Linked DNA regions of Diceros bicornis minor. The main gene of each other region encodes a partner of the protein of the gene in region 2 in a complex. Links are inferred from orthologs where the notes say so. Each region holds a gene or a part of one and is shown on either strand. Other genes may lie near its edges.

The links.
Region 1: TFDP2 (region 2) and LIN52 share a complex: the UniProt entries of both Homo sapiens proteins name them as parts of the DREAM complex. The link is inferred for Diceros bicornis minor from reciprocal best matches to the Homo sapiens genes TFDP2 and LIN52.
Region 3: TFDP2 (region 2) and MYBL1 share a complex: the UniProt entries of both Homo sapiens proteins name them as parts of the DREAM complex. The link is inferred for Diceros bicornis minor from reciprocal best matches to the Homo sapiens genes TFDP2 and MYBL1.
Region 4: TFDP2 (region 2) and E2F6 share a complex: the UniProt entries of both Homo sapiens proteins name them as parts of the DRTF1/E2F transcription factor complex. The link is inferred for Diceros bicornis minor from reciprocal best matches to the Homo sapiens genes TFDP2 and E2F6.

Annotation. Positions count from the first base shown.
Region 1 is NC_080763.1:22,177,167-22,185,053, forward strand, and holds the start of LIN52 (protein lin-52 homolog), read left to right. Parts: upstream 1-4,882; 5' UTR 4,883-4,923; coding exon 4,924-4,954; intron 4,955-5,039; exon of another isoform or gene 5,040-5,058; intron 5,059-7,887. Other genes in the region: ALDH6A1 (methylmalonate-semialdehyde dehydrogenase [acylating], mitochondrial), read right to left, coding at 4,300-4,347.
Region 2 is NC_080741.1:11,623,635-11,631,259, reverse strand, and holds the start of TFDP2 (transcription factor Dp-2), read right to left. Parts: upstream 3,009-7,625; 5' UTR 2,707-3,008; intron 1-2,706. UniProt on the Homo sapiens protein: Can stimulate E2F-dependent transcription.
Region 3 is NC_080772.1:19,069,443-19,076,458, forward strand, and holds the start of MYBL1 (myb-related protein A), read right to left. Parts: upstream 3,008-7,016; 5' UTR 2,881-3,007; coding exon 2,861-2,880; intron 1-2,860. UniProt on the Homo sapiens protein: Transcription factor that specifically recognizes the sequence 5'-YAAC[GT]G-3'.
Region 4 is NC_080751.1:68,834,109-68,841,447, reverse strand, and holds the start of E2F6 (transcription factor E2F6), read right to left. Parts: upstream 3,004-7,339; 5' UTR 2,761-3,003; coding exon 2,653-2,760; intron 1-2,652. UniProt on the Homo sapiens protein: Inhibitor of E2F-dependent transcription. Binds DNA cooperatively with DP proteins through the E2 recognition site, 5'-TTTC[CG]CGC-3'. Has a preference for the 5'-TTTCCCGC-3' E2F recognition site.

The DNA.
Region 1 (7,887 bases), on a different chromosome or scaffold from region 2:
ATTTCCTACTAGCAAACCTACAAAACTGACCTGCACCTATACCCATCCTTTTTTCCTTCCTCCCTCTTATAATGGAGAAGACAGCTAGCAAGCACGGTGGGGACAAAGTGACTGGGAGACAGAGGTGCACAATCAGTATCTGTGGACTGACTGAAGAGGTGTCTGTGCTCCAATCTAAGGCTAGTCTCTGCACCTGTGCTCTGAAGCCAACCTTTCCTACTGCCTGACACTTCCATCACTTATCCTTTCTTTCCTGTAACTTAAACCTCTCTCCATCCAATAGCAAGAGTTCTCTATACTAACTACCTTTATTTCCTAATCTCCCACTAACTCTTCAATCTATTCCAGCTTTCATGACTGAACATCAGTGACTTTCTACATCCCATGGACTCTTCCCAGTCCTCCTTGTACTTGATCTCTCAGCAGAGGTGATACGGTTAAACATGGCCTCCTTCCTCAACCTCCTTTTCACCTATCTTCTGTGATGCCCTGGTATCTCTTCTATTTCTTAGGCCACTTCTTCTCTGCCCTCTTTGCCGGTTCATTCTCCTCTCCCTGGCCACTAACTGTTCAAGTTCCTCAAGGCTTGGTCCTAGGCCACCTTTTCTTCTCATTCCACGTACTTTCCTTGGGTAATTTCATCAACCCTCGTGGCTTAATTATCTAGATCCTGATGATGCCCAAATCTGTAGTCTTCTGCCAGAATCTTCCTCTTCAGCTAATACCTACATAACTGTCTTCACATCTCTACTTGGATGTTATTTAGCTACATATTCATCCTCCCACCAACCTTCTATGTTTCCTGTAGCCCACCTTTCAGCGAATGGGCCTACTATTCACCTTGTTGCCCAACTAGAAACCTGAATGTCACCCCAACTCCTCCCTCTCTCTCCACATTGAATCAAACAAGTCCTGGCAATCTGTTCTCCTAGAAGTCTTTGGAACACGCCCCTTTTTCTCTACCCCCTCCTGCCATCACCCCAGTCTATATTATCATCGTCTCTCATCTGGACTTCAATATTGGTTTCCTAACAAGTCTCCCAGCCTCCAATCTTAAACCTTCTGAATCCATTTCCACCACATAGCCAGAGGGTCTTTCAAAACACAATCTGGTCCATCACTCTCTTGTTTAAAAACCCTCCAATGGCTTTCCACTGCCTTTGGGATAAAGACTAATCTTGATGTTGCTTAGAAGACTCTACATAGTATCTTTACTTCTCTAGTTTCATAGCTTGCCACTTTCCTCTTTGCTCTCTTTGCTCTAGCCATTTGGAACATGTTTTGTGCTCTCTCTAATCTTGCACATGCTGCTTCCTCTTGCCTGGAACTGTTTCATCCCATTTTGCTTGGCTCCTACTCCTTAGCTCCCTACTTAGCCATGACTTTGGGTATAGGTGCAGGTCAGTTTTGCAGGTTTGCTGGTAGGAAGTTTTCATCTGATAGTTTCTGTTTCCTTTGAAGTAGGAAAAACAGAATTAACTCCTGAGAGTGAGAGGGGAAGTAGCAGAGTTGGAAATTTTTAAGTCTCAATCTCAGGTCTAGGCTAAGTACCTGATTGGGGAGTTTATAAAACACCTGAATTCCTCTAGTCCTCATATCACATTATGGAATAATACTTTTTTAAATCATTAAGTCTGTCTCCTCCTAGATCACCAGATGGTTCTGTCCTCAGCCCCTAGAACCATTCCTGGAATAAAGTAAGCACTCAGTAATATTTTGCAGGATGAAAGAATGAGTACTACCAAGCAATTTTTTGATACAAATTTTGTTTCATGTATACTCTCTTATAGGGCAGAAAATGCATGCATCAGCCAGCTTGAGCATTCTAGGCTACTTAATTTTATTTTTTCATTTGTATACAGCTTCCCTGCTGCAAAGAGGGCATAAAAGGCACTGCATCTGGTATAATAAAACATTATCATATAGTTTTTGACAGGTTAGATCTCTTTTCTTCATTTCCCAAGAAACACTTGTTAGCACTGTTGCTGAAGAAACTCCCCTACGTCCAGTCACACCAAACTTCTTGCTGTCTAGATGTTGCTATTACCTTTACCAGGAACTCCCTTCTCCCCTTGGCTAAAGGCCTGCTAGTCTTGTAAGACTCAAGCCCAGAGCCACCCTCTTTTGGAAGCTTTTCCTGAATTGCACAGGTTGAGTCTGGGGCTCTTTCCCTATGTTCCTGCAGTAGCCTGTGCACTCCTACTGTTTAGCACTTATCATTGCATTACAACATGGGAGCTTTCAGTGAGTATTTTACTTACCTCTCCTTTCCCAAAGCCTGGGACAGTGCCCAACACAGAAAGAGATGACAAGATTTAAGTCTTGAATTCTCAGCTCCATCAGTTACTAGTTGGGAGACCTTAGATGACCTTAAGTGTCAGGTAACTCACTTCATTATATTCATTAATTCTAATCTTCACTAATATTCTTAAGAGTAGAAAGTGGTGGAGCTGGGATAGTATCCAAGTATGACTGTGAAGCCTGTGCTCTTTCTACCACATCACTGAGGAAAGTCACTGAGTTACTTTAAGACTGGTTTTCTTATCTCTAAATGGGAGTGGTAATATTACAAGGAGCAGAAGTTTTACTAGCCACCATAACGGAGAAGATACGCTGAATACTTAAAATAACTGAAGACGTGAACTCTCTCCTTTACAGATCCTTTTGATAGTCCTTTAAAATTCATGACAGACAGATTCTAGACTATTCTTTATCAAAGAGTCATGTTACAGTAACTCCTAGTTGGCTAAGGATTACTATTTCTGTTCTTTTCCAGGTCAACCCAGAAGTTTCTTCAAATGAATCAGAAAATAGGTCTGTTTCCAAAATAAAGTACATGGGAAAGGAGACTTTTTTCCTTGATGCAAAGGACAAAATACTTCTTAAGGCTCTCAGTGATTCATTGTGATGGCGGGGAGGCAAAGGAAAAAAGTCCATTTGTATAAAAGATTTCAAGGAGAAGCTGGGAATGAAAAGTATAGGGTGGAAACTTTGTTTCCCTACTTCTAAAAAAAGATACTAGAAAAACAGAACTAGGATCACAGCAAGAAATATATGACTGAAGCCAGACCATCTGACAAACCCTTCCAACCCACTCTCTACACTGTCTCATTAAATAGCGTATTTAAACATGAACCTTTGCTGATTCTGCTAAGAATCTTAAAAGTGCGAGTTTCTGCAGTGGAACTCACTGAAACCTGGTAAATAATAATATTATCTAAAAGTCCAGCAATACAGAGGAAGAAGTTCCCAGGTTGGATGTAATAAGTAAGAAGGTCAATGTTGTTTCTTGCAGGTTGGAGAATGTTGCCTGCAGTAAATCTTGCCTGACATTCTAAGTCTTTGCTGGGCTGTGAGCAACAGGGGAAAGGCTATGGACAGAATTGGAGATCACAGGCCTCAGGCATGAGCTCCTGTAGCTCTACCACCTCTCCTTAGGCTGGTTTAGGGGGGACCTAAACCCCTCCATGGGCAGAGTTGAGGGTGTATGTGCACATTAAGAGCTGACTTTGGGGCAGGAACTTGGAACTTACACTTCTTGTCTTCCTTGGCTCCCATTTTCTAGCACCTGTTTTAGAGATGTTTAGTCCCTTGCATGTGCTTGGAACAAACTGGTAGCATAATTATGTGTCCTTATTTACCGCCAACATGAACACTGTAACTTTGCTGAGAGAAAGTTTAACTGCAAGTCGGGGCAAGCAAGGGGACAGCCCACAGCCTGTGGAAAATACAAAGCACCATAGCTGGGGAAGAAAGCTCAGCAAATGGCTGCTTTGGGGGAAATCTAGTGTACACTTCTAGAAGGAGATTCAAAGTTCATTCTCTGACCCTCGCCCCTAGTGTGCCTCCTCCTCTCCCCTTTACCTCGGATTATAGACAGTGAAGTAGGGTGGGGGAAGGGAACAATCTGGACGCTCCCGGCAGGTGCAAGAGCTCTAAGAAAGGTGAGCAGAAGGGAAGTTTCTGGGAGAGAGGTGGCTGGTGCAGAGGTGAAAGGGAAAGACGGTGGGCACACCGAGAGAGGTGAGGGCAAAAGAGTGACAGCAGAGACAGCGCAGGGCTGGAGGAGGAGAGTGGGCTAGAGCCAGAAAAGGGGAGGCTCAAAAATAAAAGGGCGGAGGGCCAGGGGTGATAGTCCAGGGCTGGATCCAACGAGGGCAGACACGGAGTGAGAGGTGGGACAGGGCCGCACAGGTCGGATGGGAACAGGAGAGTCGGCCAAGAAGGGGTTGGTTCAGAGAGTGGATGGAAAGGACCCAATTCCTAGCTTTGCGACCCCTCGGCGCCACCCTCACTCACCTGCAGGATCCGGGCCCGCACTGCCGCCGCCGCCACCACCGCCGCCATGGTTCTCGCCCACCTCTTCTCCGCCTCCCTGGGCCTCAACTGGCCGAGACTCCCCAGACTCACTACAGCTGCCAGGCCTCGCCCCTCCATCCTGCTGCACCTCCTCATTGGTGGAGAGGACAATTTGCCCTAGCCAATGACTCGGCCTAACACCTGACTCCACCCCTCAGTCCCAGTCCTAGGGGTATGCGATTGGTCAGAAGTAGAAGGTCTCGACCCCTCCCACCTCCGCAAATTCTGTTGGCGGAGGTAGGGAAGACGTCCCTGACTTGGATGCTCTATATTGAGCACACCGGGAAAACGCCCCCTAACCGGGAATCCCGATTGGCCACAGGCACGACCGCGGCCCCACCCCCTCATTGAGGAAAGTAAATAACACTCTCCAAGAATTTGCCGTGGCTCCACCTCATCCGCCGCGCGAGGGGGTGTGGCTAGTATTAGGAGCGGGGCTAGGCAAAGATTGCCCTATGGGGCGGGGAAATGAGAGGGGGCTGCGAGTTTGGAATAGGGTTTCTCTTTGGGGGCGTGGCTTATGAGTCCTTGCTTTCCCGCCGACGGTTGGCCACGTCACGTGACATGGGTTGGAAGATGGCGTCTCCCACAGAGGGTAAGAGCCGGTTTAGAGATCCTTCGCCTACAGGCTCCTTTGCTCTCCTGGGAACTTCCCCTCTCCATCTGCCCCTCGAACTTACACCTCTTTCTCGGGCTCCTCTCCTTTCCGTTTCCTTGGGATGTGGGTGCGTCTTCAGCTCGCTGGTTTTTCACAGCGGCTCTGGAGGTGCGCAGTTTCCTCGCTGGGTACTAGGCGGGTGGAGGAGGGCACACGCGAGGGATCCATCCCGGGCCCTGCCCTTCCTTTAGCCCCATTTGGGTGAAGCTGAGGGCCGAGGAGGAGATACTGCCGGAGGAAAGGAGGTGCCTTACTGTAGCTTTCTACTTCTGCGGCGCCTCATTGAAAGGTCGGTTCTCGTCTTTTTGAGTATCTGAAATGATTCTCTCAAATCCTAGCTGGGATTGGTGGCTGACCTCATTCCTGGACTGGACTGCAAGAGAAACGTGACTCTCTCCTGTTTCCTCAGATTGGTACCGTTGACATGAGAGCCCCGAGGAAAATGAGAATTGAGCTTTTTAGTGTAGTCTTGCACACGTCGCAACCTTTCTTGCCGCTGCTTTATGTGTTATTTCCTCAGGCTGAGTGAATGAACGATTTCTGCTTATGTTGTCTAAGATACAAGTCATCTCAGATAGCAACTGAGTGGTTTTGGTATATGCATATGCGTTTGCTCTTGGTTCTGCTTTAGAGAGTTAGGGTCTTGCAGTCATTTCTGAACTCACTTAATTTTTGCTTCTGTCTCCCCCATCCCCACGTCCTTTTCATGGATATGTAGTGTTCCCTCCTCAACCCACCACGTTTTGTTAGGAAGGAATCTTGGAAGTTCATTTCAGGACTGAGGAAATATGAGGCCAGAAAAACTGTATTGAGTACCTACTATATGAAAGGCATAATGCTAGGTGTTTGGGGAGAGGAAAAGATTAATCAAACATGTAAACACTTTTGCAGTATCAGGTCTCATTTTAAATGTTGCCTCTCGGGGAGGCTTTCCCAGAATACAATATCCAGAGTTGCCTCCTTCACCATTATTCGCTATCTCAGTACCTTCATTGTCAGCATAGTTATTCTGTTAACTTTGCCGCTTTCACACGAGATTATAAATTCCAAGTCTGTCTTGTTCATAGTTGGATCCCAGGGCTTAGCACAGTGCCTGGCAAGCAGTAGGCCTTCAATTAACATTTATTGAAAGAGTGATTAGATATAGGCATAAATAATATATTACTTTGGCTTTGGTTTCATATTTAACTGAAAGTTTTTTTCAAGTTTTTTGAGTGCAGGTACAGACTATATAAGAAATTATGGGTGTTCGAAGTCAAAAGAGATTCTTTCTCCTGCCTGGATGCTCTCTTGTTAAAACGTTCTCTTGCCAGAAAAAAAGGGGGGGGGGGCGGCATTTAAAATGTCAGCCAAAGGAGTGGGAGTTATTGTTTAATGGGTACAGAGTTTCAGTTTGGGAAGGTGAAAAACTTCTGGAAATGCATGGTGATGTTGGTCACACAACAATGTGAATGTACTTAATGCCACTGAACTGTACACTTAAAAATGGTTAAAATGGTAAATTTATAAGTTTTGGAGATTTTAAAGTTATGTTCCTTGTGTTTGATTTTTCCCTGTCTTCTCTCAATTTCTTTTCCTTTCTTTGGCCGGGAAGAGTTTGGAAATGTTATATATTTTTTTCCTTTGATCTTCTAGCCATCTCCACCATCACTCTCTTTTCACTCTTGATTTTTAAAAGTTTTTATTCTCATCTTTCACAGAGTTTCACCCTTCTCCATCTAATATTTTATTTTTAATCTGACAAAATCAAGTGGAGCACTTTGAACTTAAATTCATCTTCTAAATAAGTATCACATCCTAAAATATTCCATTGCCTAGCTCCATCACTTCTGTTTTTAGGGCTCCACCTGTCTCTGTCTTTAAAATTTAATTCAAATAATGTTGATTTGAAAAAAGTTTAGGTCATTTATGCATTTATCTTTTTAAGGCTAAATTTACTGGGACTTCTTTGAAAAGGAGAGAATTGAAATCAAGTAAAGCTATCTAATTAGTTATTTTATGAGAGTAAGACTCACAGCGGAGTCTGAGTTATGCCCCAGACTGGTATCATAAGGCCACCCTTGTTGGTTGTTGGATCCTACCCCCAATAAGTTTCTTTTTGTTATGGTAGAGCTTCCCGTCAGTACCATTCCTTGGGCATTTGAAAATTGACATTTTGTGTTACACACAGCTTTTCTTTGTTACCATTTTTGGATGCTTTAGTTAAGGCGATGGATTGGAGTTAAGTTCTTTACCAATTAGAATGCCATTGGAAATTCTCTTAGAATATTTGGGAAGAAAATTCAGTTTAGAGAAAAGCACATATTGAAAAATTTTATACATATGTACATTTTCTGGGGAGTAAGTCCATAGCTTTTTTTTCAGATTTCCAAAGATGTGACTTGTCCAGAAAATGTTAAGAACTACTGTTTATATCATTAAATGAACTAATTTATGCAACTAGTTAGCCTATTGAGTATACAATATGTACTCAACAAATGTTAACTGTTGTTAAAATCCAACACCTACTGTGTGCCCAGGCAAGAATGGAGAGGAAATGGTGTCAAAGAATTAGTCAGGGGCTGGATCATGTAGGATTTTACAGGGCACGGTAGATATACATTCACGAATTTAGCTGGTAAGAAGTTCTTTAAGCTGGAGAGTGACAGGAACTGATGGACATTAAAAAAAAAACCAGTTCTGGCTACTTTGTGGAGAATAGATTTGAGGGTAGGGAGGGGAAGGAGTAAGAATGAGAGCAAGGAGACCTATTAAGAGGCTACTGAAGTAGTCTAGGAGAGAAGTGATGGTTTCTTGGATTAATTTGGTGTCAGGGTGTATTTTGGAGATAGAAAGTAGTGGATTTACTAATGGATTGGTTATGGAAGGGT
Region 2 (7,625 bases):
GATACAACTTCTAGTTCAGTAAAAGGAATAATTTTATAAAAATTAGAGTTGTCCAAATATCTTCGCCTCAGAAACTACGAAACTGAATCTTCTCTCCAGAAAAATATACAAGTGTATATAATTTTGCATAAAATTTCCAAGGTTTCACAAATCTACTTTTAAATCTCTTCATGCTTCATCCCTAGAGTCATGTATCCCAGATTAAAATGGAAAGGATTCAAGTGTGAAGAAGAGGTGAGTATATTTAATAACCTTTAAAATTCATTACAACCTAAAATTCTATGACCCAAAAAAAACTCTCAAGTGTATGCTTTCTAGTTTGTTCTGAGATGCATTATGATACCTATTGCTATAAGAGTTTAAAATACAACAAGGTCAGAAGGAAAGTAAAGTCAAGTTTGCCAAGTGACAATGTAAACTGATTACTAGTAAGTTCATAGATAGTATGGCTTATTACTTAACCTTTAAAAGAAACACACCTAAGTTTAAAAATAAAAAATAAGATGCTAATGTACTACCCAATACCTAATATTTAATGCCCAAATTAGAAATTTCTCCCTCTGCTTTTAAAACTTCATCTTAAACTCTCCCTTTCCATCCTTTGTTCCTGTTAAGATAGACCAAGAAACCATGGACTAGAAGTCATAATACTTAGATTCTAATATCTTTGCCATGAATTTAATTTTGGCTTAGCGTGTTTCCTTACTTTGTTCTAAAAACTTTCATACATCTAAAAGGACTTTAAAAATGGTGCTTTGTAAATATACATAACTCATGCATTATGTATAAAACATAAGTTATCAACAGCAAGAAAACAAAGCCAGTCTATCATGTTAAAAAAAAAAGCAAATGTATATTCACATTTCAATTCCTAATTATAAAAAGCAATATTTGAATCCTTTAGTATGCATTTTAGTGTATAATTTTCATCCACAAATACTTTCCACATTAAGGATGAACATATCTGTACATCCAATTTCAAGTTGTATTGAGAGGACACAGCTGAGACAGTTAAGAATTTTGGCTGCAAGGGAAAAACTTGAAGGTGCCAGTTGGACTACATACTTAAAAGAGATGGGAGGGGGTTAAAAGACTACAAAATGGTAATATGAAGTATTATATACTTGAAAAACTCCATTTTCTCTCTTAATTAGACAACTAGAAATAAAGAGAACTCAAAAGTAAGAGTTGAATAAGTCTTGAGCCTTTATTAACAAATATAAGCACCACATTGCTGAAACTGCAGCTGTACTGCCAGAACAGTGCCACAGACACCATGTCTGCCATGGGACTAGACTCTAGTTCCAGGCACAAGATGTTCTAATAAATAACAAATGCATGGAGAGCCAGTACACAAGGGTGATAGACTCCGGGGTCTGGGCATTTGATTTTTCTCCTGGTGCTACCTGAGAAGGGACACTGCTATTAAAGATTTATTACAGTAATAGGGCAGTGATAAAGCTTTAGCTAAATTATAGGCTACCAATGAAATGGAAAAGCAACAGGCAATATCAGACCACCTAAATTATTTTATATTTAATTCTGAACAGAAACAGGGTCATGATTACACTGTATAGAAGACAGATGAATAACTTCACCTATATTTATTAGGTGAAGATGATTTCAGGCCATTAAGAGAAAATAAAAGTGGCCCAGAAAAAGTCAGGCTATAGAAGTCAAATAAAAAAACACAAAACTAAGATTTGAGGGAGACAGGAAAAGGAAGAGAATGAGCTACTGACTTACTAAAAAGAGAGCAAATAAGTGGGACAGGGAGTCTGAGCCCTCTGAGATAGAATGAGGAAGAGAAAAGTATTCAAAGGGAGCTTCAGCAGTGAATATGGAAGGGACGAGCCTGTTAACTGTTTCAAAAGAAAAAGAGAAACAATACAGGGAACTTTTCTAAACCAGCATTCACGGTAGTCAATAATAAAAACGCCTAACTCATGCAGGGCACTTAATACGTGGTGAGCTTTGTTCCAAATGCGTTCCACAGATTAGTCCATTTACTCCTCGCAACACCCCGAATCGGTACATACTATTTTACAGATAAAGAAACTGAGACCACACAATACAAGGGAACACAAGCTAGTACCAGAGCTGAGCGCTCATTCACTTTGTTGAACTGTCTCTCTGTGAGATCCTGCAAAAACCTTTCTACTTTTTTTTGTAGAGAGGGATCTTAGCTCTCTGGAACTTCTCAAAGGAGTCTGGGCCCACAAACAGATCCTCTACTTTAGAGAGAAGTCCCCCTATGGGGATTATGAGGTTCTTACAAGCGCACCAAGCTGTGGAACCCTGAAAAACACCTAGTAGAGACAGATGTAGGCGTGTGGGTCATGAAAGGGAGAAAAGCCAGAAGACCAGACTTAGAAGCCATCCTTCTGCCCTGAAGACACCGAGAAAGTAGAAAGCAGCTCTTCCTCTCTAACACGAGGCATGACTCAGGGACGTCGCCTGCCCCCAGTGTGCTGTGTGTGTGTGTGTGTGTGTGTGGTGTGGTGTGTGGGGCTCTCTTGTTTCCGACTCCCCCTCCAGACACGCATGGGTTACTCGGTCAGGCCTGGGAGAACGCGTGCGAACAAACAGATGCGAGTCGGGGTGACATGGGGGCCCCGAGGCGCAGGGAGGGTAACCTGCCCAGGAACACGCCGGGCCGGGTCCAGAGGCCCTGGCCCCGGGCCCGCGCCCCCGCCCGGCCCTTACCGCCGCTCGGCTGCAGATGACGAGGCGGCCGCGCAGGGCTGTTCTTCCGAGCCTGGGGCGCGTCCTCGGGCCCCGCCGCTCCTGTGGCGCCCGCGCTTGGCGGCGGCCCGGTCCCGGGGGACTCACACTCGGGCCGGGGGTGGGAGATCCGCGGTCTGCCCAGTCGAGGCCCTGGAGTTCGAGGCCCCCGGACGCCGACCGGGCGCGCGCCCTCGGGCCTGCCCAGAGACGAAGGGTCAGGGCGCGCCCCGCGTGCCGAGCTGCGGCGGCGGCGACTCCAGCCCAGAGCGCTGGCGCCTCCGTCCGCCCTCACCCAGCCCAGCCACTGCCCCGCTTCCCCCGCGCGAGCTTTGGCGGCGGAGCAGCACGGTGAGCGCCGATTGGCCTTCGGGATGAGTGACGTAAGGCGCCGCTCCCCACGGATTGGTGGGGCCAGCGGTGCGTGCAAGGAGTAAACAAACCCCGCCCCTAGGCTCCCCACAGAGAGGAGGGGGCTGAGAGGTGAAGGGGCGGGGTCTCGCGCGCTCTGCCCAGCCCCGGGTTACCCACCCGAGAAGCTTCATGGGTCTCCCGAAGGGACCGCGCCAGCCCTCTCCCCAGCCGCCTCGGGGCGGGCTACAGGCCTGAGGCCTAAAATTTATAGACACGCCCTTCCCCTCCCTCCCCCGGGCTTGGGTGGGAATCTTGACTTTTCCATCCATCCGCATCGCCCAAGCCCGAAGCAGAAAAACCCCGTCTCTCTCGGAAAGAGGGGAACAAGAGCGGTTACACCTCGGTCCCCAGGCCTTTAGATGGGTCGCCCGGGAGAGCAGGGAGGAGGAGGATGGGGACGAGAGACTGTGAGGCCACGTGTGGGGCCAAGTGTGGGACACCCTGTAATTATTCAGATAATGGGTTACAGACCACTAGACGTGGGTTCTTCAACACCTACGCAAATAAGATCCAAACCGGCCGGGTCACCATGTCACGTGGAAACTTAAAAGAAAATCGCAGCCCACACCCCCAAATACCTGTCCATTTAGTTAAATATTAAAACATTTTGTCTATTAATTATGTGCCTGTGTGAAAAATCATGTGTGAGCTTACATTCTAGTTGGATGGGAAAGACAATATGAAAAAGAAATAAGCAAAATATAAACTATGTTACATGCTGATACGTACTATGGGAAGCGGAGAGGATGTTTGAGGGACTGCTTGTCTCAAATAGGGCGCTCAGGGAAGGCGGCAGAAAAGGTGCCATTTAAGTAAATACCTAAAGGAGGTGAGAGAGTACCTTTGGACCTTTCTCTGGGGAGGGGTGGAGAGACAGTTTCTGCATAATTGTACATAGATAAAGTCCTAGGAGTTCAAGAATGCCGAATACTCCTCAGACTGATTCAAAAATGCAAAAGTGATTACATTTTCCAGTAAAAAGCAATAAGATTTATTTAGTTTCCAAAGAAATTTTGTTAAAGTTTCAGTTTAACGAATACTTTTCAGACACTCTAAGCACAAAGATACAAAACTGAGCAAAACAGACAAAACCTCCACCCTCAAGGAACTCGGTCTAGCAGGGGAGATGGATTGTAAACCACCTCAGGACAATGTATAAACAACCATAATAAAAGTAGACACAGAGCGCTTGGCTAATGGAGGTAAGAGGGGTGGATGTTACTAAGCAGTTGTAACTCTCTCGAGATCTCTCTATCTATGAAGAAAACTCAGTACTAAATTTTGGAGTAAGGCCATGGTTATTAGGGATTCTCTAACCTATTTATAAGTTTCTAAGGTGAGAGTCTGAAGATAATATTAAGTTGAGCCATATGAAATTGCTAATATTTGGCAATTTTCATATGGCTCAACATACTCTCTTGAGTTAATATGAGGATTTTGCTATGTAATGCATATAGTAAGTGTTCAATAAATGATGGCAATTGTATGATCATTCGATAATATTGCTTTTGAAAAAAATGAATTAAAAGTCAGTCTTTCCTAACACCTTCCAACACCACTAAGTAAAATGGGCAGTGAAAGTTTCAAATTTTCCATGTACTGGTTTGATCTAGCTGTGAATTTCCATGACCTAATCAGGGTATGCTGTAAAAGACACTAAATGCTAGTTTCACAGGAGGCCAAGAAATTCAGAATAAGAAACAGCTTGGTTTTGAAGCCAAAAACTGAAAATTCTCCAGAACAGAATAAATTGTCAAGTTGCTTCAGGGAGAAAAATTCATGTAAATCAATTTTTCATTCCCACTCACAGTTCCAATTTAGCAATTTGCACAACAGTCAGCTTTCTCTCTTCCTTCTCATTTCCCCATTAAGGGATCTTATTTCCTTTGAAAAGGAAAATAAAGCTTCCACTATCTCCAATGCCAGAGAGTAGACGTCTGAAACATGACGGAACAGTTACTGATTCCGCGAACTGTTATTAAGCACTTATTGTATGCCAAGATCAGCACAAGGCATTGGAAATACAAACATAAACATCCAAAGAGCGCCGTTCATGGGTATCCCTTGCGCTTGGAGCAATCCCCCTGTTCACCCACACCTTACCTACATGTGCCTTCTCATCCAAGCTTAAACTTTCTCCAGAGAAGCTTCCTCTGACTCCTCATCTCCAGCTCTTTTCCCATAAAATTTTGTTTTTCTAACGTTCATCAAACTTGTGATTACTCACTTGGTATCTGTATCCCGTTAGACTATAAGCTGCTTGAGATTCGGGCCAGTCATCCTACTCACTACCACATCCTCAGTGCTTAAGAGAAGCTCAGTAAGTTTTTATTGAATGGAGGGGAGTGCCACAGCCCAGCACAGCTGGAAAGAGGAGAGAAGCATAAATAAGTGAAGTCTCTACGTATAAATATGCGGGTCAACAAAGAAAGGGATCTGAAAGAGAGAGATCTGTCACAGTTCAACCTGAGGAATTTCCATGTGCTGCCCCTCTCCTGGAGCTGGATGTTCTTTCTGTAGGTGGACCTATAGGACTCCTGGACCAGCGCCTCTCAAACTGTAACGTGCACAGGAATCCCTGGGAGATCTTGTTAAAATTCAGACTTGGAATGGGTAGGTCTGAGGTGGGGTGTAGAGTCTGCGTTTCCAAGAAGCTCCCAACTGGTGCTGGTGCTACTTCACCAAACACCACACTTTGAGTAACAAGGTCCTTAGTGAAACCTTTTTATCATACAAAAAGATCTGTAATTGTCTGGACAATTGCCGATATGACTTTTTTTTTTTTTAAAGCATCCTGTTTTCACAGCTAATCCATCCAGTGACTGATAAAAGAAAAAACACTTAAGAGAAAAATGTGTTAAATCAAAGCCTTGTCTTCCAGAGACAGTCCTATCATGTGGAGTTTAATCACATTAATAGGTAGGGCCAAGTAGAATCAAAGCATTGGAATTTCCTCAGCAAGGGACACAACCTTCTCCTCCGTTCATTTCTGAAATGACTTGATTAGGGCAGTAGAAGGATTTCACAGCCATCCTTAATAAAAGTAACCTCTTCTTAATATCACACCCAGGAGCCGGCCTGGTGACTCAGTGATTAAGTTTGCACACTCTGCTCCGGCAGCCCAGAGTTCGTAGGTTCAGATCCTGGGTGCAGATCTACGCACTGCTCATCAAGTCATGCTGTGGCGGCATCCCATATACAAAATAGAAGATGGGCACAGATGTCAGCTCAGGGCTAACCTTCCTCAGCAAAAAGAGGAAGCTTGGCAAGGGAAGTTAGCTCAGGGCCGATCTTCCTCACCAAAAAAAAAAAACCAAACAAACCTAAAGTCCTTTTTATGATAAAATATTTTATTCATCCTAAAAATAGAAAGTAAATGTGAGGTAAAAGGAATAAACACCTTATGTGAGGTATAAGGAATAAAACCAGGAGGACAAACAGGTCTGCAGGGAGGAAAGGTTGAGTTTCTTTCTAGACACCTAGAGTCTGATGTGCCTGTGGGAGGGACCTCTGGGAGCTGTCCCATGGGCAAGCAGCCGGTGCTCAGGAAAGAGGTCCAAGCACACAGGGGAGTCGGCACCAGTTCCTGCTATGGGCTTGGAAGACAAGATCCATTATTTCATCTGTCTCACAGCTTTGGCAGGGCTGGATAATCCCATTGTACAGCTGAAGCTGTTATCAATCCCAGGACTGGACTGGATCCAGGCCTCCTGATCCTAGCCCTGTTCATCTGGCAAGAAGACCAAATCAGGCATCAGGGCTATCTGGGATATATGGGTGGGTGGGCAGACAGGAGAGGAGCTTAGACCAGGCAGCTTCAAAACCAAGTAAAACAAGTTAGCTATTCTTCTGGTTCTAACTGTCATTCAGGGGATGAGGTCTGGAAGACAGGAGGGAAGCACTGGGTTCTGGGACGAGGGAGGAACCGCCAACCACTTCTGTTCACCTCTGTCCACTGCTCTTTCCTTGCCCAGACCTATGGAGAAATGGACCCCACCACAGCAGCCTTGGAGAAAGAGCATGAGGCGGTAAGCAGGGCTGGGGGTCCTGACTGCGGGCACTCCCTGCCCCCTGCCTTCCTTGCCCCAGCTGAGCCATCCACTGCCCTCCACTCCCACCTTGCCCACAGGTCATCAAGGTGACGTATGTGGACAAGATCCACATCGGAAATACGAAATCAATGCCTCCTACTTCTCGCTGTTCCCTGAAGACTATGGGAAACAGTCCCAGCTCCAGCTCTGTGAGCAATGCCTCAAGTACATGAAATATGAGAAGAACTACTGTTTCCACTTGGTGAGGCTGGGCTGGTGGGCCTGGTGAGAGAGGTGGGCGTTGAGGCTGAGGGCGCCTGAGGCAGCAGCACAAGGAAAGAGAGATAGGTCCAGAAGAGTCGAGCACAGGAAAAACTGCCCATGGGTGGAGAGACCTGCATTCCAGGCCTGGCTTTCTCTTTGCGGGAGTGACATGGGCCATCTTGCTGTCCCTCC
Region 3 (7,016 bases), on a different chromosome or scaffold from region 2:
ATCGTCCAATTCAAGAGCTAGCTTTTATCTTTTCAGTTTAGAGTAGTCACAGGTCTCAACTGTAAATACCTGAATCTACTACTACTTAAATAGGCCTTCTAGCTTCTAAATGACATTTTTTAAAGTTTATTTCTGAGGGTAGAACTGGCTTTAAAAACTAAAATTACTTAATACATAAACATGCTTAAAAATCAATACATGTTCATAACAGATATACAATTTTAGTACTGCCTGTAAATTACGTCATTAAAACCCCCCAGTGGGATCTAAAACTATATAAAGTCACGACACTAAATGAGCCTTTTCCTTTATGTAAATATAGATCAGAGATACTACAGCTATCTTAAAAGATCAAAAGAGTCAACATCCTTCAGTTGTTTCACACCTGAGGTAACAGTTTTTTACTTTTTTTTCAGACCATACAGAAAAAGTATATTACAGGATTTATGCCTATAATCTTATGCAAAACTTTTATACAGCAAAGTATAGTTTATACTCAAATACTTAAATGGTTGTATAGCAGAGATCTTAAAGTGACTGAATTATTTCCTTTCTTTTTCAATTATAAATTAGGTTTATATTTAATATTAAGATATTTAGCCAAAGGCCATGAAACCAGAATTTGCCCAATGAACAGATTATTTCCCCTTCAAAATATTTCACATTCTATTATCTTCTAAGATAAATAAGTCATATTTACACGTACAAGAAATATAATTTAGAACATGAAACATTCAAGTATGAAGACCCTAAGTAATATACCATTCAGAGGTGGTAATTTCTTACCACTTCTATCTGAATACTTTCATACAGAGTGTAACTTCACCCCACCACATTTAATTACCCCAGACTTAGGACTCTTTAATCATTCTATAATATGATTTCAATTAATGTTTCAATTAATTGAATGTTTCAATTAATTTATATGGCTGACAAGCAATAAAAGTCAACAGTAAAATTAATGTTTACATCTCAAAGCTCATAGTATTGTCAGTAAAAGAAAATAACTTATACAAGCATATTAATCATAAAATCATTTCTTCTCTCTTAGTCTATTATTATGAAGCATACACAAATTCTGAAATAGACAGAAAACCAATTGCAGAAGACAGGGTTCTGACATTCAAGCCTCCACGTCCAACCATAACTAAATGCTGATGACAGCATTAGCCAAGAAACTATTTCAAATAAGATTCACATCAACACTGATAAGTAGATAATGCCACACATGGAATATAAACAAACTTCTGTTATTGAGGTGACATAAATAATCACTTGTCACCTTGCTTAATGAAGTCATTTTATTTTTTAAATTTTGTATATTTAAAAATTCAAAAGAAAAGGCCTAAACCAGTACCTCAGTAATTATAATTACAGGACCTTTTAATATCTACCTTTTCTGAAGATTTAGAGATTATTTGGGTTCCTGACATTCTAGAGCAGTGATTCTCACCTGGGTGATTTTGCCTAACAGACACTTGGTAATGCCTGGAGAGACTTCTGATTGTCACGACTGGGGGAAGTAGGGTGTTACTGGCATCTACTGGGTAGAGGCCAGGGATGCTGCTAAACATCCTACAAAGCACGGGACAGCCCTCCACTACAAAGAATTATCTGATCCAAAATATCAATAGTGCCGAGGTTGAAAATCTTGTTCTAGAGAGGTGGGTTTATGTCTGTGTGTGCGCACATTTGTTCCACCTCAAGAGTTTGACCTATACTGTAGTTGCTACAAAATAATAAACTAACAGGGACTTAATTATATTTTATGCAGATTCCTGCAAAACATTTTACATACAATAGGTGCTTAATAAATGAATAAAGCAACAAATATTATGTGTAATTATTGCCAATTTTTAACAGAAATCTGCAATGAATGAATCCCAGTACTAAATCTCAATTTAGGAAATACATATCTAGTTAAGCCTTTGAGGCTATGGATTCAGATAAACAAAACCACTTGGAAATCATGCCAAACATCTTTTCTGGTTTATTTAATAATACTGACAATTAAAAGACACCTTAGTTTTTTGCCATCTAACTGATTACTACACGTGATTTAGGAGTAGCCACTACAGTAACATATAGATCAAAATCAGATGCATAAATTCATCCCAGCAAGTTTTCCAATAAAAAAAAAGTGCCCTACTTCTGTGCAACACTTAAGTACAGTCACAGCCAAACACGGACAGTCAAAATATTAAGTAAATCAAATACATTGTTTTATTTTAAGATCAAGCTACTGGTAGTAACAGTGTGACATCTTCTCAGTGGAAGATATTAAAAATATGTACATAAAGCTGCGAACATGGGTATGGTAATTACAGAAAACATGGAAAATGTCCTCTCTCCTCAGCTACTCCTCAGAAGATACCTTTCAAGGTAGCAAAGATGGCAGAGGGGTCTCCGCCCAAGTTTATCAGAGTTCCTACTTTAACTGGTACAGTAATTCCGAAAAAAAGAGTCCCTCTGAACACCACTGTCAGGTCGTCCAGGCTGGACACTACCACTTGCATCTGCGTAGCGCGTTCCCTGAAAGCGCAGACTCACCTGGCAAGAAACTCCCCCCAAAAAGTTGCTGTGAACGATTAGGAGTCTGGACGCGCGCTGCGGGGAGAAGGAACTCAAAGGAGCAACCCGGGCATCTCTTACTCACTTTCTGCGTCTTAACCACACTGGTCCCCAACTCTCCACACGTCACGGCTGCGCTCCGGCCAGCCGGGCCCAAGCGGCTGTGGAGCAGCGGGAAGGAAAACCTCTGCCCCGGGTGGGGAGGGCGTGGTGGGGAGGCAGCGGGAAAGGAAAGAGAATCTGAGCCGAGACTGTGCCGACAAGCCTGGGCGAAAGGGATGTCACCCACCTGCGCGACCTCTTCGCCATCCTTCAAGTACCGCATAGGCGCGGGCTGGGCGGGGACGCAGCTCAGCCTCCTCCAGCCTCAGGCGAATGCTCCTTCTCCCCGACCCTCCCGCCGCTTGCCTCGCTCCCTCTCCGAGGCGACCGAGTACGGAACGCACGTCCCCGGCAGGGCAGGACGGAGGGACGGAGGGGCAGACCGCGACCCGCCCCCGGCCCGCAGCGCCGCTCCTAGCCCCGGCCCGGCCCGGTCAGGAATGCCCCCAACATGTCAGCAGGCGCGCTCCCGCCCTCCGCCGGCCCCTCCCGACGCCTCTCAGCCTCCTCGCTGCCGTCCCAGCGCGGCTCCGCCGCGGGCGCCGACCCCCGCCCTCTCCCCGCAGCAAGCAGCTCTGCAGGGCTCGCAGCCTCCTGCAGGGTTTTGTCCGCACCGCCGAATCTCGCGCCCAGCCTCCCTCAAGAGCCGCCGTTTGAATCTGCGCACGCGGCCCCGAACCTCATTGGCTGTGGCGGCCGCACGCGGAGGGACGAGGGCGGGGCGGGGAGAGCGCGCGCGACTGGGGGCGGAGCTGGGGAGCTGGAAGCCGGGACTGGAACTCGCGGGAGTCTGGGAAGGAGCTGGGAGCCAGGGGGTGGGGCCGCAGGCGGGGCTCGCGGGTCTGCCTGCGACAGAACCCGGAGCGCGCCGAGCGCCGCACCGCGAGGGGGCGGGGGCGCCGGGGCCGCGCGGAGCCTGCTGGGAAAGCGAGTTCCAGTGCTACCCGAGAGGCGGGTCCGGAAGCGGCTGCGGGAGCCTAAACTTCCCGGGGTGCGGCGACAGTGTTCCTGAGGGTTGGGCGCGCAGCTGGGACACGTGCCCGCAGCCTTCTCTCCGCCAAAGCTCCTCGTTCCTCGGGTGTATCCCGCCTCACTAATTAGGAGACGCGGTCTTCGGACTAGAGACTAATCTAACCATAAAATTTGCGCGGCCGTTACTGTTTAAGCAAAAATGTGAGCTATTTTTGCCCAGACATCATAGCTACTGGAGTAGCGAAAACTCTGTGACAGGAAACTGAATATCAAGAATGAGCAGGAGTGTGACAGGTGAAAAAAGTTTTTAGTTGGAGACGTGCTTGGAACGGAAAAGGGAAATAATCCAAGTCTGCGACTGGTCTTCAAAGTGCTTACGTTCTCCGCTCTACGGGAAATAACTAATGTGCGCGGTGAAGGAGCCCAGATCCAGGAGAACAATGCAGGAAGACAGGAACGGGCTGGGAATTTCGCCCAGATAAATGAGTACGGTAGTCAACAGTAGAAGGTGACCTCCTTTCGCAGGAGAGACGGGAGGAGCGGGGAACAGCACCGGAGGAACTTCTAGCAGTTGCAACTACGCTAGAGGTTTCAAGTCTAAAAACTAACTGCTCGATTCAAGTAGCATTGAAGTAGATTATCTATAGTAACGATTAGAAATGGTAAAGGATGCCAATTTGCAAGGTAACATGGTCTGCTGCAGAGGGGATTAAACCACATGTTAATATTGTAACAATCTTACATTTTGCTATTTTGAAATTTTACGCATCAATTTTTGCAAATGATGCAGGTGCAAATGTGAATTAAGGGGGGCTTGCATGCAATACTTTCAAAACTTAAAACACCTGCCTTTTTATAGTTCCTTCTCAAGGTATGGGTTCTGGGAAGTTAAAACACCTTTTCAATCATTTCTTAGTGTGTTGCTGGTTCACTTTTTTTTTTTTTAAACCTAATTTAGAAAGTAATGTCATTTAAAGATACTGTTTTCTTATTTACTCCTGGGTCATACATTACTCTGCTTATTTATATCCTAACAGGAAGCAGAGTTTCTGCTATATTTTAGGCTATAGTCAGTTTTATACGTAATACCTTTTTTTTGAGCTTGAATGCAGGTATTTTAGATATTGACAGTAAACTAAATCCCCTTGGTTTTAAATCCCCCTCATTTTAGAGATAGAGAAAAACATAATTCCTGAGCAAGATAACATTGTAAATTGATTTAAATCAGTTATAAAAACACAAAGTGTGGAGTTAAAGTGGTTCACGGTCATCTGAGTACACAGGCTCAAATATATCATAACCTGAGAGTTGGGAGTTTTTTTTAGCAAAACATATTTAATAAAGAATTTTTATTTAGCATGTATAAAGAACTCTCAACTCAATAATGAGAAAAAAAGACGCAGTAAAAAAAATGGGCAAAAGATTAGAGCAGACGCTGCACCAAAAAAAGATATACAAATGACAGATAAGCCACATGAAAAGATGCTTCACATCATTAATCCTTAGAGAAATGCAAATTAAAACCACAGTGAGACTCGACTACACAGTAGAATGAGGAAAAAAAAAAAGACTGAGTAGGCAAGTGTTGGTGTAGATGAAAATGTTAAGCAAATACAACTTGCACACATTGCTGGTAAGAATGCAAATGGAACAGCCACTTTGGAAAACAAATGTTTCTAGTGGCTTTATTTGTAATCACCAAATTGAAAACACTTAAAGGGACATTCTTCTCATTGTCACACATTTACTCCTCAACGGTGAGTTGGTTTTGAATATGTTAATGCTTCTGAAGTTTTTCCTCTGAAGTATAGGGGACTGAATACCAAGGGGAGATAGGGGTTGAGGACGAGTGTTTTAAATTCCTTTGAAAAGTATTTTATCTTTAAAAACTCATGTAAAGTTTTCTTTCTACTCCATGACAAATATATTCATGTTTTTAATTGTAAAAATTATGTACTAATGTACTTTCTTACTCCAAATCTTTAAATAAATTGCTTCATTAGTATTAAATGAGCAGGAAGGTGTACAATGGAGCATGTTTCACATGGCTACACCTACTTCTTATCCTCCTGCAAAGGCCAAAGACTCCCAAGGTTTGCTTATGTTAGTTTGAAAAGCTTATGCTGGTTTAATATAGTATCTAAGAGACTGTACTTTTAATAGAGCTGTATTAGCCATTCCCATAGTAGGTTTTTGTCTGTTCTATTTATTGCCTCATCCCCAGTCCCTAGAATAAGGACTCAGTAAATACAATAACTGTAGAATGAATGAAAAAAGGCAAATAATAAACAAGTACGTGAATAAATATGCACACAAGGACACAAAAAGTACAAATTAAAATAGATTTGAAATACCATCTTACGACTACTAAGGTAGCAAAATTTTTCTAAATCCTGCCTATAAGGTTTGAATAATTCCTTGATATTAGTATTGAAACTAGTATAAGGCTTTTGGAAAGCAATACTTAGCAAAAGCCATAAATATATAAAGATATGCATAGCCTTTGACAGACATTTTATCTTAAGAATATAATTCAATACAAGCAAAAAAGATGTACTTAAATGCTTACAGTAGTATACTCCATTAGAACCCCACTTTGGAGGCATTCACATTTTGAGACTAATTTAAATGGTTCATCAGCAGGAAAGAACAATTACACAGCCAGTAAAAATAGTATAATATTAAGGCAATGCCATTAAATGGCTGTTACTACTAAGCCCTTCTAGGTGCTTCACATGCATTCATCTTAGGTAAAGTTTGCAACTTCTATAATTGTAACAACTCTATGAGGTAGATACTATTATTTTCATGCACTTTATAAATGAGGAAAATTGGGCACCAAAAGGTTAACGTGACCAAGGGCATACAGTAGCAAAACCAAGATTAGAATTAGGAGCCAAGCTTCCCATCACTCTACCACCTTAATATCTATGGGCATTCAACTACAAGTATAGTGTAGATGTAATGTAGAGATAGTATGGTGTAGTGCAAAGAGCTAGTAGCAGAACTGAATGATTAGTATGTCATTTATGTAAACAAAAACTCAGGGTGTATTTGTGGGTATGTGTCTAATGTTCTAGAAAATGGTCTACAGAATACACACCAGACTGTTTAACAGTGTTTTACTTTGAAGAAAAGAATGAGATGGAAGCAGGGCAGGCTTTAACTTTTTACCCGATGTACTTTTGTATTATTTGGCTTTTTTTAAAGCATAAATTCATGTTTATTTTTTTAATTAAAAAAAATGAGTTGATGCTAAACTCCAAAAATTGCTGAAAATCCTAGAAGCAAATAGCACAAGTATGGTATATAAAACTTGCCCCGGTCCCGGCCCCGTGGCAAAGTGGTTAAAGTTCCGTGTGCTCCCCTTC
Region 4 (7,339 bases), on a different chromosome or scaffold from region 2:
CACACATTGCAAAGAGCGAGTAAGTAAGCACAGGGCGCTTTGGGAGCACAAAAGGAGTGCCTAACCCAGTCTTGACAGGCCAGAAGTCTCCAGACCACTGACCCATAAATCTAGACCTAAAGAACCATGGGAGGTAACAGGAAAAAGTGTGTTAAAAAAAAAAAAAAAAGGCTCTTTTGATAGGGGGAGTGTGGATATGTAGGGGTACAAAAGAATAGGGAAATACGGAAAATTCAGCAACCATAAGCAGTTCAGGAAAGATAAACCCAGGGCCTGGATTATATTAAGAAGTTTCTACTCTATCCTGAGAGCACTGGGAACCATGATAGATTCTTTAAGCCAAATGACATGATCAGAAATATGCTTTAAAAAGACCATTATGGTTAGTTACTACGTGGAGAATATACAGAAAAGTTGGGGGCAAGGCCAGAAGCAGCAAAACTGGTTAGGAAGACATTGCAACAATGCAAAAGACAGATGATGTTTACAAGTGGCAAGTATTGGTGATTAATTTTAATCCGATTGGGAAGCGGGAGGGGGTCAGTTTGAAAAAAGGAAAAGGCAAGGATCATGCTTAGGATACTAGCTTGGGCAATATGGTGGGTGTGGTACCATTTATTAAGAAAGGTGACAGCAAAGTTGTTGCTTGCTTAGGCAAAACGAAAACGAACTCAATTTTGGATATACGAGTTTGAAATCTAAGTAGAGATGTCTGGCAGACAGCTGGAAAGCTCTGAGCTGGATTTACAGATTTGGGAATTATCATGACATGGTAACTGAACATACCACAGTGGATAAGAATATCTAAGACTTCAAGGGATGTGTGTATCTTCTGATATTAAATACAAAATTAAGTGTTTTTTCCATAGTGAGAATTCAGAGCTTTTATCAAATTCTCAAAGATTAACACCACCAATACAGATGGCACCAATATATGTAGAGGGTAACAGAAGTCATGAGAGTGGTGAACGGCATCCCACATGAAGAATGGGTAGAGAAGGTTAGAAGAGACCCCAGGATGACATCAATAGGTAAGGAATGGAAAGAGTTTGCAAAAGAGCACAGGAGAGGCCAGACCAGTAGACGGCGCATCAAGAGTATGTGGTGTCAAAGAAGCCATTCAAGGGCAAGGGTTTCCAAAAAGAGTGAGCGGTCAATCATGTCAAAACTACAGAGATAAGGAGTGAAACATCTGCTAGAATGGACAAGCTTCTGGTAACCTTGGTTAGAACACTCTTACAGCTGTGCTGAGGGCAGAGGTCCCCTGGCAGTGGGTCATGGTCATAAGGAGAGGTGAGCAAGTGGACACAGTGAGTGCAAACAATTTTTTCAAAGGTTGGCTGTGAAGGGGTGGAGATAGAGATACAGTAGGAAGAGATACAGTAGACTGAAGGGCATCAGGAACTAAGGGAGAGAACTTTTAAGACGGGGATGGATTTAGGATGCAGTTTAAGTAGTCAAGAATTTATCATTTGGAGCCACACTAACTAAATCCAGGCTTTTCTGCATACTATCTAACCACAGGCAAGCCACTTAAGATCTCCAAGTCTATTCTGGCAACTGTCAAACAAGAATCATCATCTCTTAGGACTGCAGCTGAGGAGTTAAATTAGATAAGGCTCAAACTATTTTTGAGCACTGAGTTCCCATGAAGACTGGCCATACTGACTTCGGTAAAAGTTTAGTTACTAGCTATGGGGGAAAAACCAGCAAAGAAGTTGAAAATATGGGGAGAAATGGAAAATGACGGCTTCATCAAGAGCCCTACGAGCCAAGGAGAATTTACTGCCATCTGTCTAGAGCAAGAATAGGGGAAATTACCGGGCCGGCCCGGTGCCGTCGCGGTTAGGTTCGCCGCTCAGCTTTGGCGGCCCCGGGTGCGCTGGTTCGGATCCTGAGCGCGGACCTACTCACCCCGCATCAAACCGTGCTGAGGTGGCATCCCATACAGAGCAACTAGAAGGACAACTATGATGTGCAACTATCTACTGGGGCTTTGGGGAGAAAAAAGATAAAAAAAGAAAAAAAGAAGGAAGATTGGCAACAGATGTTAGCTCAGGGCCAATCTTCCTCCAAACAAAAAAAAAGAATTGGAGAAATTAACCTTTTGCAGAAGGGAGCCCACTCTCTCTTCCATATTCTCTGTCAGACAGGACTGAAGACAATCTGCTGAACCGGGAGCTGTGGGGCGGGAAACGCGAGGCGTGGACAAGGTTTTAAATGGCTGCAATCAAGTAGGAGAATAGGAGAGGAGGTCGCAGGGAAGAAGACAAGATAGCTTGCAGAGACACACGGAGGGGCCAGGGGAAGTAGGAACACACGCTCTTCTAACGCAAAGCTGGGCAATTTTCTCCAGCAGGGCTCTGCAGCCCCGAGGGAAAAGCCAAGGAGGCTGACAGCACATTTGCGAACAGGTGTAGAAAGTAGGAGGCGAGAGTCAAGCGAACGGCCAGTCGGGCTCACAGCACAGGCTGGGCAGCGCGGGAGCCGGGAGCCCGAGGAGCAGCCAGGGGCCCGGCGCAGGGGGAGCGCACGACGCGGACGACGTCAGCGCGGCTGCCCCGCGGAAAAGAGGCGGCGGCCGGGCTCAGACGCACCCCGCGCCGCGCCAGGGCCCGGGCGCTCCGGCCTCGGGCCGTCCCCGGGGCTTACCAGCAGGCCCTCCACGTTGATGGGGTCTCGGCAGCGGCGGCGCACCGTCTCCTCCGCCGGGTCCACGAGCAGGCTGGGCAGCTTCCGCGCCGGCCGCTGCTGACTCATGCTGCCCAGCCGGCCGCCCCGGCCCTCGCACCCTGCGCGCTCTCCCGCCTTCTCCCGCTCGGGTCGGGCGCCGCCCCCAACACGCCGGTTCCCGGGGGCCAAGCGCGAACGGGGCCCGTGGCCTGCTCAGAGGCGCCGCCTGGCCAGGCCGGCCCGCGGACGAACCCGCCACTGCCCCACGACCCCGGGAGCTGCAACACAGGCGGGAGAGGAGCAGGGTGACCCAGGGCCCTCAGGACGCCAGGCCCGCCATCTTCCCGCATGCGCAGTGCGCCGCCCCCAATGCGCATGCCTGCTGCTGCCGGGACGCTCCCACGCATTGGTGCTCTCCCGGCGGCCGGAGCCCAGGAAACCCCGGACGGCGGAATCTACGGAGAGGATGGCGACGGAGAAGGAAGAGGTGGAGCAGGCATTCCTGCGGAAGGGAACGGCGCGAGAGAAAAGAGGCAGCCGGGAAAACGCCCTTGTCCCCTCGGGATTCGCTGCACTGATGACACTAATTACTGAAAGTTCTGAGTGCGCGCGGATGTTCATTTATTCTTGAACTCCCTCCGCACATCTCGGGCGCTCGCCCAGTGTTGATGCTTAGTAAATGTCCGTACCCAAACCGTTGTGGAATTGTTTTCTCCTATGCTTCTTTTTTTTTCTTCCTTCCTTTCTTTTTCGTTTGATAAATGAAATATTGATTACCTGCCATGTCAGATATTGTGGTGGGCACAGGAGATACTCATTTGAATTTGGCACAGACTCCATCACACATTCCAGTGGAAGAGACGGATGAATCGAACATTTTAAGCTGGAGCCAGAAGGTGTGTTTTCAAATCCTGGCTCCCTCTACTTATAAGTTACAAGACCTTAAGTAAGTTACTTAATCACTCTGTGCCTCAGTTTCCTCATCTGTTAGATAGGAATAATGACAATCCTTACCTCATAAGGTTGTTGTGAGGATTAAATGAATTAATGAATATAGATTACTTAGAACAGGGACCAGCTCATGCTTGGAATAAAAAAACAGAATGTGGTAAGTACAGGGTGGAGGGCAGCAACTGAGCCGGGTGGTTAGACCAGGGGCTTCTCCCCAGCTTGACGTGGGCCAGGGAAGGTTTCCGGAGGAAGTTGACCCCCTGTTAGACTACATATAAACTTCTTGAGGTCAGAGCCTTTCTCTAATCTTTGTATCTCCGGCATCTAGCACAGTGCCTGGGGGTGAGAGCTCAGTAAATGTTTGTAAATGAATGACTTGAAATAAAGGATAATCTAGGGGAAGTCTCCAGAAGACTGAATTTTGTTGCACAATGGAGAATTTCCCAAAGCGGTTAAAAGACATCTTTACCAACCGGAGTCCCTGAAGCTCTGGAGACCAGAAATGGCTGTTTTTAATAAATAAGACATAGTCCAGCATTTGCTATAAGTTTGGCATTCTGCTAAATGTTCTGCATACATTTTCTCATGTATCTCTTGTATCAAAACTGAAAGGTGTTTTTCTGCCTAATTTACAGATCAGGAAAATGAAGATTAGCAAGATTACAAAAATTACCCGAGGTCCTGAGGGGGCAGTGGGAGAGGCAGGATTTGGCTCCACAGCTGATTAATTTGGTATGCTGATCCTTGAGAAGATTCTTGAAGGGTGACTAAGAGTTTCCTCAGCCAGAGATGGGGTGGAGTGAGTGAGGGTGGGCTGCGGGTCAGGGTGAGAGGCACTCTAGGCTCAAGACAGAGCATGAGCCAGCTGTGGAGAGTCAGGGCGATGACACAGCCTTCCAGACTGTTATAATACCTGTGACTTGGCTTTACCCTGAGACGTAATCATTTGCACATTTTTGGAGCATGTGCCTGGCAGTAGAGTCGGTGATGAGGGGAAAACTAAATCCGATGGGGACCTTACCTTGTGCTCCAGCATCCCCTAGCCCGGTGGAGACACGTAACCAGGCGCATAAGTACTAATTTAGAATGTGTATAACATGCTATGGGAGCACAGAGGAGGAAGAAAATAAATAACTGAATTTGGCATAAATCACAGGTGCTTTTTCCCATATCTCCCTGTGAGGTAGATATTTCTAGAATACAGATGAGGATACAGCGGCTCAGAGAGGCTCAAGGCCACCTGGGGACTCAAATGCAGGACTTCAGCCACCAAATCCTTTGCTTTGTCCTCCATGCTCTACAGTGGTACAAACACAGTTCCCAGCACAGAAAATCTAGTATTTCCCATTTCCAGTCCTGTTTTTATGTGTGCTTCCTGGGGCAAAATGGCACTAGGGCAGAATGAGGTATGGCTCTTGGGACTTGAAAATTAGGGCCGAAATATAGGCCAAGTGCACACGTGTGCCTGCGGAATGCAGAGAGGCCTTACCAGTCATAGGATGTTTTACCTTCCTCCTATGGTAAAATTTCCTCCCCAGAAGTCTGTGAGGAAATGATCATGTCCAATAGGACTTCCTGCAATAATGGAAACATTCTGTGCTGTCCAGTATGGTAGCCACTAACCCCATGTGGCTGTTGAGCACTTGAAATGTGGCTAGTGAGTCTGAGGAACTGAATTTTAATTTAATTTAATATTAATTTAAATAGCTGTGTAACTAGTGGCTACCATATTGAATAGTGCAGGTGAAGAAACTAAAATTATGGATATAATCTGGTCCAGGGCTATTCCAAGGGTGGTCTGTGGCCCTCAGCATTGCTATCACCTGGGAGCTTGTTAGGAATGCAAATTTTCTGGCCCTACCCCAGACCCACAGAATCAGAAACTCCGAAGATTTGGGTATACTCCGCAAGGCACTGGTCTAATCCAAGCTCTTCTTTTATAGATAAGGAAACTGATCCCCACCCCACCCCCAAGGGCCTGATACTCCAGCTAAATTGAAGCCAAGTTAACTTTTCTAATGCAGTATTTCAGGACTGGGGATTTAGAACAATCCAATGGCACCGAGGTAACCTAATATTTCCTAGGTGTTCCGACTTTCTACATATGCCTCGCCCTCCCGTGTGGCCCTTCTTAGACCTTAAACGACGGGAGGAGCAGTCAAATCGGAGGCCAGGAGAGTGGTGAGGAGGCTGTGATGGTCGCTGAAAGGGCAGCTGATTATGGCCCGACTGTGCCGGTGTAGTGAAAATGGAGAGAAAAGGACAGACTCGGGAGATGCAAGACAGCAGCAGAAGCAACAGAGCTCGGGGGTTGGTTAGGTTTGAGGGAAGGCTGGCACTGAAGATGGCAATTTGGGTGCTTGAAGTCCAGGAACAGACAAGATTGTTCATTGAGCGTGAGTACAGCGAAGTGGGGCAAGGCCAGGGGGCGGAACCGGAGAACAGCCCGCTGAAGGGGCCGGCAGAGGCTGTCTTAACTGTTTACAACAGGCATGATGTGTTTCTGTTTTTAAACTAAACAATGACAACAAAGGGAATTAAGAGGGAGTAGCCAGGGAGACAGAAGGTGAATCTGGACTCTGAGTGCCTCAGAGATTAAAAGAAGGAAGGTTTTCTCTTTGCTTTTTTTTTTTGTGTGTGTGAGGAAGATCGGCCCTGAGCTAACATCTGTTGCCAATCCTCCTCTTTTTTGCTGAGGAAGACTGGCCCTGGGCTAACATCCGTGCCCATCTTCCTCTACTTTATACGGTACGCCGCCACAGCATGGCCTAACAAGCAGTGCATCGCTGCACGCCGGGGATCCGAACCCTGGGCCACGGAAGCCGAGTGTGTGCACTTAACCACTACACGACCGGGCCAGCCCCTCTTTCCTTGCTTCCTTCCTTCCTTCCTTCCTTCCTTCCTCCCTCCCTCCCTCCCTTCCTTCCTCCTTCCTTCATCCTTCCTTCCTTCCTTCTTTTTCATCCTTCCTTCCTTCCTCCTTCCTTCCTTTCTTCCTTCCTTCCTCCTTCCTTCCTTCCTCCCTTCTTCTTTCTTCTCTCTCTCTTTCTTTCTTATTTCCTTCCTTCCTTTTTGTTTTTTGAAGATGGAAGAGACTTGCGTTTTTCAATGTTGATGAGGAGGCGCTCATAGAAAGGGAAAGGCTGAAGACGCAATAGAGAAAGGGGATGACCTGAGAATGCTGACAGGATGAGACACGGAGCACAAATGGAGGACGCACTTGGAGACCAGAGGAGGATGCCACTTACGCAGTGGCAGGAGGACAGTATAGGGACAGAGGCAGGACAGCTTGTAAAGTGATTTCGGCAGGAAGTTGAGGGAGTTCATGCTCTGCAAAGCCAAGGTCATCCGCTGAAAGGAAGAGGAGGTGGTGGAACTGGAGATGTAGGCGACACAGCAGGCACTCCGTGAGTATTTACGGAAAGAGGAATTGATGGATGGATGGGTGGATGGATGGATGGGTGGGGCACAATAGAGAAGACTGACTTGGAAAATATAATAGGATTGCGGGGTCACGCTGGAGATTACCTCTGTGGTCTGTGGCTATCTATCTCACAGTGTCTCCAACGTACACATCCTCCTGTGAGAGTTGGAGGAGGGAGAGGTGTGGTAAAAGATGGCAGAGGAGAAATGGTGGCTGCGAGGACTGTTCCTGTTAGTTTTCTGTATGTAGTAGTCTGGGTCATAGAACCTTAAGAGCAGGAAGAGGTCTTGG